2 linked regions of the Macaca fascicularis genome follow. The protein of the gene in region 1 purifies or fractionates together with the protein of each later gene. This does not show direct contact. Links are inferred from orthologs where the notes say so. Each region holds a gene or a part of one and is shown on either strand. Other genes may lie near its edges. The genes, in order: DNAJB6 and MLF2.

What was found.
Region 2: the proteins of DNAJB6 (region 1) and MLF2 purify together in Homo sapiens (affinity purification with mass spectrometry; 3 studies listed by BioGRID and IntAct, with this or other methods). This does not show direct contact. The link is inferred for Macaca fascicularis from reciprocal best matches to the Homo sapiens genes DNAJB6 and MLF2.

The regions. Positions count from the first base shown.
Region 1 is NC_088377.1:198,714,093-198,717,892, reverse strand, and holds part of DNAJB6 (dnaJ homolog subfamily B member 6), read right to left. Parts: intron 713-3,800; coding exon 506-712; exon of another isoform or gene 1-505. UniProt on the Homo sapiens protein: Has a stimulatory effect on the ATPase activity of HSP70 in a dose-dependent and time-dependent manner and hence acts as a co-chaperone of HSP70. Plays an indispensable role in the organization of KRT8/KRT18 filaments.
Region 2 is NC_088385.1:7,678,712-7,683,117, reverse strand, and holds the start of MLF2 (myeloid leukemia factor 2), read left to right. Parts: upstream 1-1,537; 5' UTR 1,538-1,694; intron 1,695-2,267; 5' UTR 2,268-2,295; coding exon 2,296-2,345; intron 2,346-2,368; exon of another isoform or gene 2,369-2,556; coding exon of another isoform or gene 2,557-2,573; coding exon 2,574-2,703; intron 2,704-2,955; coding exon 2,956-2,991; intron 2,992-3,861; coding exon 3,862-3,915; intron 3,916-4,322; coding exon 4,323-4,406.

The sequences.
Region 1 (3,800 bases):
GCCAAGAGCCCCACGGCGGGTGACGGGCAGACTACGCTTCACGAGGACGTCTGACTTGAGGGGTCTTTTGTTCTGCACCCAGCGCAGAAGAAGGCACGAGAAGGTGAAGCTGACGGAGGGGCAGGAGCAGATGCAGAACCCCCAGCACCAGACCACCTGGCCTAAGCCACAGGCCTCAAGCTCTACGCTGAAAGCTACGGAAAGGCAAGTCTACGGTAAAAGCAGCACCTCGCACTGCTGCGGCAGCTCTGTCATCCTTTGGGGAGCAACACACGGTGTAAAGGACACGGGGACCCCGTTTTAACGGTGGGGGGCCGGAGCCACCGTGGCGTGGGGGCTGCGGGCGGGAGGGGAACAGAGCGAAGCCACCTCCTCCCGCCCCGCCCTCCCCCGCCCGCTCAGGTCAGAACACAGCAGCACAGGCGCGGTTTGTGTCCTCGCTGTCCTCTGGCACCCACGGGAGTCTCCCTCTGGGCCTGCTCCTCGGCTGCCTCCCTTTGCACACCTGCTGCGGACGCGAGGGGGTCCCAGGGCCCGGGTGCCCGAGGTCGGTCCTGCTCGCCCTCCTCCTCATAGGGAGAGTGAGGCGCATGTCTGAGCAGTGAGGCGGGCCGGGGCGGCTTCGGCGGGCGGAAGCTGGCAGGCTGGGCTGGCAGGGCGTTCTGGCCTCTCCGCATGCGTTCCTCAGCGAGGGCATCCTCGTCGGCCACACCTGCAAGCACAGTGGGAGAGAGACGGCCGTGAGTGAGCGGCAGCCGGCCCCTCCAGGGCAAGGTCTCCCTGACAGACGCGTCATCTCTGGGGAGGAGAAAGAGGTTATCGCCTTCTTCGGTGGCACCGCTGGGGCCAGAACTTAACGCTCCGAGTGGTAAGAGAGTCATCTGAAAATCACCCCTCTCCCTCCTGAAGAAGCGGCTCCCCGCCCCACCAGCTTTGGCACAACCAACACGCCCCTTCCAAGAGCGAGAGTGCCCCCCTGAAATCACAGCCCAGGGCTGACAAATTCCCTGTCAGAATCAGCCAGCTGGGCCACCCTGGGGAAGAAAGGCTCCGGGTCCAGCTGGCGATTTCATCCTCCGAGTCCACACACAGAAGACGCCCCCTCTCCGCCTCGTGCTGGAATAAATCTGTGGCCGCGGCAGCGGTGCCCACGGGAGCCACAGCTCCGCCCAAGGCAGGGCCACGCCAGTGCAGCGCCAGCTCTGGCCCCGCACAACACACACACCCCCCCAAGACAGGCCGGCTCCTCAATGCTCTGAAGAGTTGTGCTTTTATTAATCTTTTGAAATACAGAAAAAGTCATTGGAAGGCCGTGCATTAAAAAAAAGAAATATAGGCCAGGCGCGGGGACTCACGCCTGTCATCCCAGCACTTTGGGAGGCCGAGGCGGGCAGATCATGAGGTCAGGAGTTCAAGACCATCCTGGCTAACACGGTGAAACCCCGTCTCTACTAAAAATACAAAAAATTAGCCGGGCGAGGTGGCGGGCGCCTGTAGTCCCAGCTACTCGGGAGGCTGAGGCAGGAGAATGGTGAGAACCTGGGAGGTGGAGCTTGCAGTGAGCCAAGATCGCGCCACTGCACTCCAGCCTGGGGGACACAGTGAGACTCCATCTCAAAAAAAAAAAATACAGAAAAAATGTTTTGAACACTGATGGATACGAGGAATAAAAATAAGAAAACAATATTCGCAGAATGATCTCCACTGTGATTCTCTGAAGGTGTGAGTGACAGTCGCTGTGTGGATGTGAGGGAGGCAGCGGCAGCTCCAGGAGCAAAGCGTGTGAGGCTGTAGCTGGTGGATTCCTCGTCCCTCTGCAAACTCTAAAATGTGTCTAAAACGTGTCGCACCCAGCACTTCGGGCCCCGAGCCCTGCGCAGATGTAAAGCGAGGCAGACCCCTCCCGTGGCACAGCACGGAGTTTATGCCAGAGGCGGCCCGTCCTCCTCACTTCCCCGCCGGCACTAAGGAGCACTCAGCCACTGAAACGCGCCTGAAACGCAACGGACTGAGATCGACGGACATTCAGGGGCTTCTCCAATTAAACTGGCCCGTACGCCACTTCCATGCTGAGTGCCAGGCCCGGGGCCCGCCCCAGGAGCTCAAATGTGATCACCCACAACGGACACAACTGGCTCTGAGGTCAGGAAGGAACCTGCTCTCAGGCTGTCCCCTCAGGCCAGGCTCTGGTCCTTGGAGACCACGATGGTGATGCTCACCTAAGGAAGACCCTCACACGAGTGCAGAATTCATCTCCAAGACCTGGGCAACTCGCAACCTGGGGCCTGCGTGTCCCCAGAGGGGAGGGCAAGCTTCACAAAACCCTAAAGCTGCAGCACGGCGCCCACAGGGCTCGGTCGTTTCTGGAACTCAGCAAACCCAAGAGGAGGCGCAGGCCTCAGATGTCACCTTCTACCCCCATCCTATTTCCCCACACTGTGAACACAGAATGTAATTTTGGGGACCATTTAACCATGCACCGTAAATGCAGGCTGTGAGGCTTCACCTATGGCACCCATTGTCAACACCGGCCTGCACGTCCTTCACCTATGACACCCATTGTCAACACCGGCCCGCACGTCCTGCCAGGGGACCCCAGGGCCCCTGCTGAGATGGCTACACCAGGAGAACACACGCATGTCTCGGCATCACGCAGAACTGCTGAGCTGAGAGGGGTCACCTAGCCCGGGGCCAGTTCTCCCCTTGGGAACTCCGTGTGCTCACGGGCAGAATGAACAGGTGGCAGGGCTGCTGTCTGCGATTCTATGATGTGAGTGAAGGAAAACAGCCCCCAGCACACAGGCCATGCGTGCGGGTGTCATGCACACACAGCACTTCCTGAACGTGCCCGCGGCAGGAGGAAACATGCCAGGGTCCCCTGACCAGGCCCCAGTTGCAGGCTGGGAGCGAGGAGGGCTCTGGGACAAGGACACCCAGGATGCAGCTTCTCAGCAAACCAAGCTGTTTCCCAGCTGCCTGGACCCTGGCAGGAGAGCGGGACACATGGAGACAGTGCTGCGAACTTGCTGTTGTGTGGCAACATGGCTTCCAGATCTGACACGGAAACTCAAAGGGGCAGGCTGCCCCGGTGACACCTGTGGACCCTGGACCGTCCCAGCCCCTTGGACACCAAGGAGAGACTCAGCACAGCTGCTCCCAGGGCACCACGTCCCACCTTGGAGGGAGAGAGGAGAGACGAGGGGACCCACACACACAGCAGCAAAGGGCCAACCGGAACCTGCCGGTGCCAAGCCCGTTCCCGCCTCCAGGAGGATTACACCCAATACTCCGCCATGACTTTGAAGATTATACTTTGCCAACTAATGTAGAACATTTGAGAAAAAAATTTAAAGTTTCTGGTGTGTGACACACTGAACTGGACCCTAAATATCCATAGCTGTGAAGTCTTCCCCGGCACAGTGATGCAGCAAGAGCTCTGTGACTGCCACCAGAAGAGCCACCCACTGCCTGGCCCAGCCACACACCCCAGTGCCCGGGAGCTTCAGAGCCAAGCGGGAGCCGCTCACCCGCCCCACTCCGTGGGGAGGGAAAAGGGGGGCAGGGTAACCCCACACATCCTGGCTCATCCTGGCTCTGGGACACCCAGTCTCGCTGCCACTTGAAATTACGCACTTCCAGCTCAGCTGCAGTTGGGAACCCCCGCCTCCCACTGTCCCCAGCACCCCTGGTCCGCAGGTGAAAACACGCCCCTAGGCGGGCGTCCAAGGACCCGTTTTCAGAGCGCTGTGGGTCAGCCGGGGCCATCGCATCGCCTGGGGGCCAGGCTTCTGGTCCAGCCT
Region 2 (4,406 bases), on another chromosome or scaffold:
CATTTGGGGCAAGAGGATAAGGGGAAGTTGCATGGTGGAATGTGCAGAGATAGAGCATCTGGAAGATAAAAGATTTTACTAAGTATCTTCCCCAGAAACAGCAATGAAAAACAAATTTACTTTTATTCTGTCTCTGTTTTCCTCTGACTTGCCAGTCTGCCAGCTTGTATCTTAACTATCTGTCTCTGCTCCCTGTCTCTATTATTGTTTTTTCCTCTTTAATAATGATCAAGTCCAAAGAAACCTGAGAAGCCCTGTTCCTAGCACCTTTTCCTGAGTTACCAGGAACCCCCTCTTTCTCCCCCAGGGAATTATCGGGAACAAGTCTTTCTCATTGGGTCAGACTCCACACAGCACTAATATGGCTAAAAGCCAGAGTAAAGAACCAGGGAAAGCTGGAGTTTGGATGAGTCTGGTTAAAGTCCATCCTAGACAGTCCAAATGCCCTGACCCCAAAGGGGAGGGCCCTTCTCTCCAGCAGAGCCAGATTTTATGCAAGACATTTAGTATGTCAAAGGATCAGTCTCTGGCCTTGGAGGCAGGTCTCCTGGGCCCCGTTTTAGCTCCTCCCCTGGGTGATCCAGGTTAACTGAGCTCTCCACTCCTTTCTTCCCCCAAACTTTAGACCTTTGACCTAAGAAAGCAAGCAAGAAAGGTCAGTGCAGGACTGGGAGCTCTTGAGGACGCAAGAATTAGAGTAAAAGGAAAGGGAGAGTGGCATTAAACTAATAGATTTCAGAACTGTAGCCTTTCCCCAGTCCAACCCTTCACAGTTGGGTAATGGGGGAGGGCTCCAGGTCCCTCTCCAATGCCAGTTCTCAAGGGCCTCGGGTTCCAGCCTGGCCGAGGAGCGCCATCTGGCGGCCAACTCCCCAACCTGGATTCTCTGCCCCATCCGACTTTCCGAAGCCCGAACTAGATCTGGGCTGGAGAGTGTCACCTCCTCCTCTGCGTCACTCCGGGGACTCCGCCCTGCCAGGAACGCTCCTCCTCAAGCGGGGACAGGCCCAAGCGACTCCCCGGCAAGAAAACTGCCCATCCTCCCTCCAGGATAGACTGCTTTTCCACTAGAGTCTGCTTAAAGCTCCCCCAAGGGATCCGCCCCGCCTCGTCGCCCACAGAGAGCCCGCCTCTCCCCGAGGGGCATCTGCCCCTAGTCCTCCAGTTTCCCCCGGAGGAGGGAGAGGGAACGTGCTGCACAGCGCCAAGTTCAACCCCCAACTCGGTCCCTCCCGAAGAATGGATTCCTCTTCTCCTTCTCCTCCCCAGCCTCATGGGAGCCTCTTCCAGTCCACAGAACCCAAATCCAGGTTACTAATGAGTTCCCCTTCCTCGTGGCCAGGTGAACCCTCTCGACCTCAGGTTCCGCTCGCCTGAGCTTGGCCCATGGCCCCGCCGCCCCTGGGACTCGGCCCCAGCCTTCTCACCACCCACGCCAGTGGGCGGGGCTCCCACGGCCCGGCCCCGGGTGGGCGGTTCCATCGTGACGTCACTTCCGCCCGGGCCTGGCCTAGGTTCGGGCTCCGTGGGCCGAAGGGGGGTTACGGAGGTGGCAGCGGTGGGAGGAGGCGGCGTGGAAGGCCGAGGAGCTCGAGCCCGGACCAATCCCCGCGTTCTGGGCCGCGACCCTGACCCTGCAGCGCACCGGGAAGCGAAACCGGCCGGATGGGCCGCTGAGCCCGAATCGGGCACTGGTGAGGCTCAGGCAGAGCGGGCAGCGCTGAACGGGAGCGGGCCCGCGGGGCTGCAGGGTCTGGGAGCCCGGGATGCGGGCTGGGGAGACGAGAGGCTCAGGCCTACCTCTTCGGCTCACCCGGCGGGGAGGCGGGAGCTGGAGGAGCCGCAGACAGGCGCGGGGGTCTTAGTGAGGCCCGCCTGGGGGAGGCCTGGTGTAAGGAGGGGGCGGGGTGGCTGGGGTCATTAATGGGGCGGAGGACCGGCACTTGGGATTTTCGTCTAGAACGGTGGCGGCGAGGGAGGAGGGGAGAGTATGCTACCGGCCAGAGCTTTGGGAAGAGGATGGCTCTGAGTGGGGGAGGGAAAAACCGAGAGGCTTGGAAAATTTTTCCGTGGCCCTAATTGAGAGAGAGGTTTGAAGAGCCCTTACCTCCTTAGAGGGTTGTGCGGAACACTGGAGTAGGGTCTCCCTGGAGTTTAGGGGGTCAGTTACAGCGTTTGGAAAGGACAGTGCTCTAAGAGTCCCTACACTGAGTGGGTGTGCAAAACCCTGGCCACCTCCAAGTATCTGAGCTTCCACATGTTTCCAGTGTGGAGCCCCCTGGAGCTGAGATCAGGATGTTCCGCTTCATGAGGGATGTGGAGCCTGAGGATCCCATGTTCCTGATGTGAGTATTCCCTCCCCCTCAAGCTTCCCACTCCAGGTCTCTCAGCAGTTCAAGCAGACGTCGGGGTTTCCATTGCTGGGAATGGTTGGAACTGGCTGGATACCCAGCTTCTACCTAGCAGGAAGTAGGCATCGGTGCCACTGTTGCTCTGTGCGTATTTTTTGCAGGGTGGTGGAGGGATTAACAGTTTGGCGCTTCTGCCATCCATACTATGTGCTCACTCCACAGGGATCCATTTGCTATTCACCGTCAGCATATGAGCCGTATGTTGTCAGGTGGCTTTGGATATAGCCCCTTCCTCAGCATCACAGATGGCAACATGCCAGGGACCAGGCCTGCCAGCCGCAGGATGCAGCAGGTAATGGTACTACGACACACCTGAGACCCAAAGAAAGGTTGGAGGTTGGTTAGGAAAGCACTTTAGTTTTCTTGCACTACAGCCAACTGAGCAAGTGAAGTGCTCTAGGAATGGGGGAAAGGGTCAGGAAAAAGGGCTTTGTGACTCCCTTTTGAGAGGATGGAAAAAAAAAATTGAGGCCATGGGCCTCGTTTGGGATTGTATAGAGATAGGATGTGGTCTGTAATTTCTGTTCCTCATGTGTTCCTGTAGGCTGGAGCTGTCTCCCCCTTTGGGATGCTGGGAATGGTGAGTCTTCATCTCCCCGTGTCCTGCCATCTCAGACACACTCTCTACCCTTAGGTATTATTCCCAAGTGTGCCTTTTAGGAATAGTTTCATGGGTAACCCCAGAATCTTCTCTTTTTATGGCATTCACAAAGCTCTGAGCCTGCTGGCTACTAGGAGCCCTGTGGGTTAAAGGTGTTATTAACTCTCGTTGGGAGGCCGAGATGGATCATCACTTGTGGTCAGGAGTTTTGAGACCAGACTGGCCATCATGGTGAAACCCCTTCTCTACTAAAAATACCAAAAAAGCCAGGCATGGTGGCACACACCTGTAGTCCCACCTACTCTTGAACCTAGGAAGTAGAGGTTGCAGTGAGCTGAGACTGCACCAGTGCACTCCAGCCTGGGCAACAGAGCCAGACTCCACCTCAAAAAAAGAAGAAAAGACGTTATTAACTCTTGTACTCCTAGAAGTCCATGCTCATTAGGAAGATGTAATTGTCTAGCAAAATTTGTTCTTTGGAGGGGGGAGGCGCAGTTAAAGGGCCAACTAGAGATGATTTTTTGGTAGGTTTTAACAATTTCATGCCTTATCTCTTTAGAGTTTAGGATCCATTAACTTTGGCTTGCTTCCTAAAGATGGGGGGAATATAGCAGGCAGGAGAAGGAAAATTGGATCAGAGCAGTCATAGAGATTGAGGAAGGGGTCAGCAGTTTACAGGAAGAGAAACATGAGTATTCTGGTTACGTTAATAGAGAATGAGAAAGAGAACTTGCTAGATGTGAAGAAGAGAAAGGAAGTGTGCAGCCACGTGGGTTGTGGGTTCCTAAACAGGATCAACTCTGAACACTGACTTTGCTTTCCTGACTCTGTTTTCCATCTCTCCTCCAGTCGGGTGGTTTCATGGACATGTTTGGGATGATGAATGACATGATTGGAAACATGGTGAGACTTGCCCCATACCCTTCCCCGGCCTTGCTCTCAGTGATGGCTGACAACACCTTGAATCCTCTAAGGCAAGAGGGAGACAGTATGCTAGTGAAGGGTAAAGTACTGGATACCGTAATTGAACCAGAGAGCCTTGGGACCCTGTATCTGCTGTCATGCCTGCCTGAAGCAGCCAGCAGCAGCACTCTTACGTAGCATACAATTAAGGCTCTGTCTCTTCAGATCCTTCTTGCTCGTGGTTGGACTCGGAGGAATTTGGGAGGGTAATGATGAGGCCTGATGCTTTTTCAGTTCTTGCATTTTGTGAGAAAGATACAGGCTAGAACAGGCAGCTGAAGGGTGAAATCTCTTCACCAGGGGGGATGCCTCCCCATTCAGCCCTCTCCTACCCACCCTGTCCTCAGGAACACATGACAGCTGGAGGCAATTGCCAGACCTTCTCATCTTCCACTGTCATCTCCTACTCCAATACGGGTGATGGCGCCCCC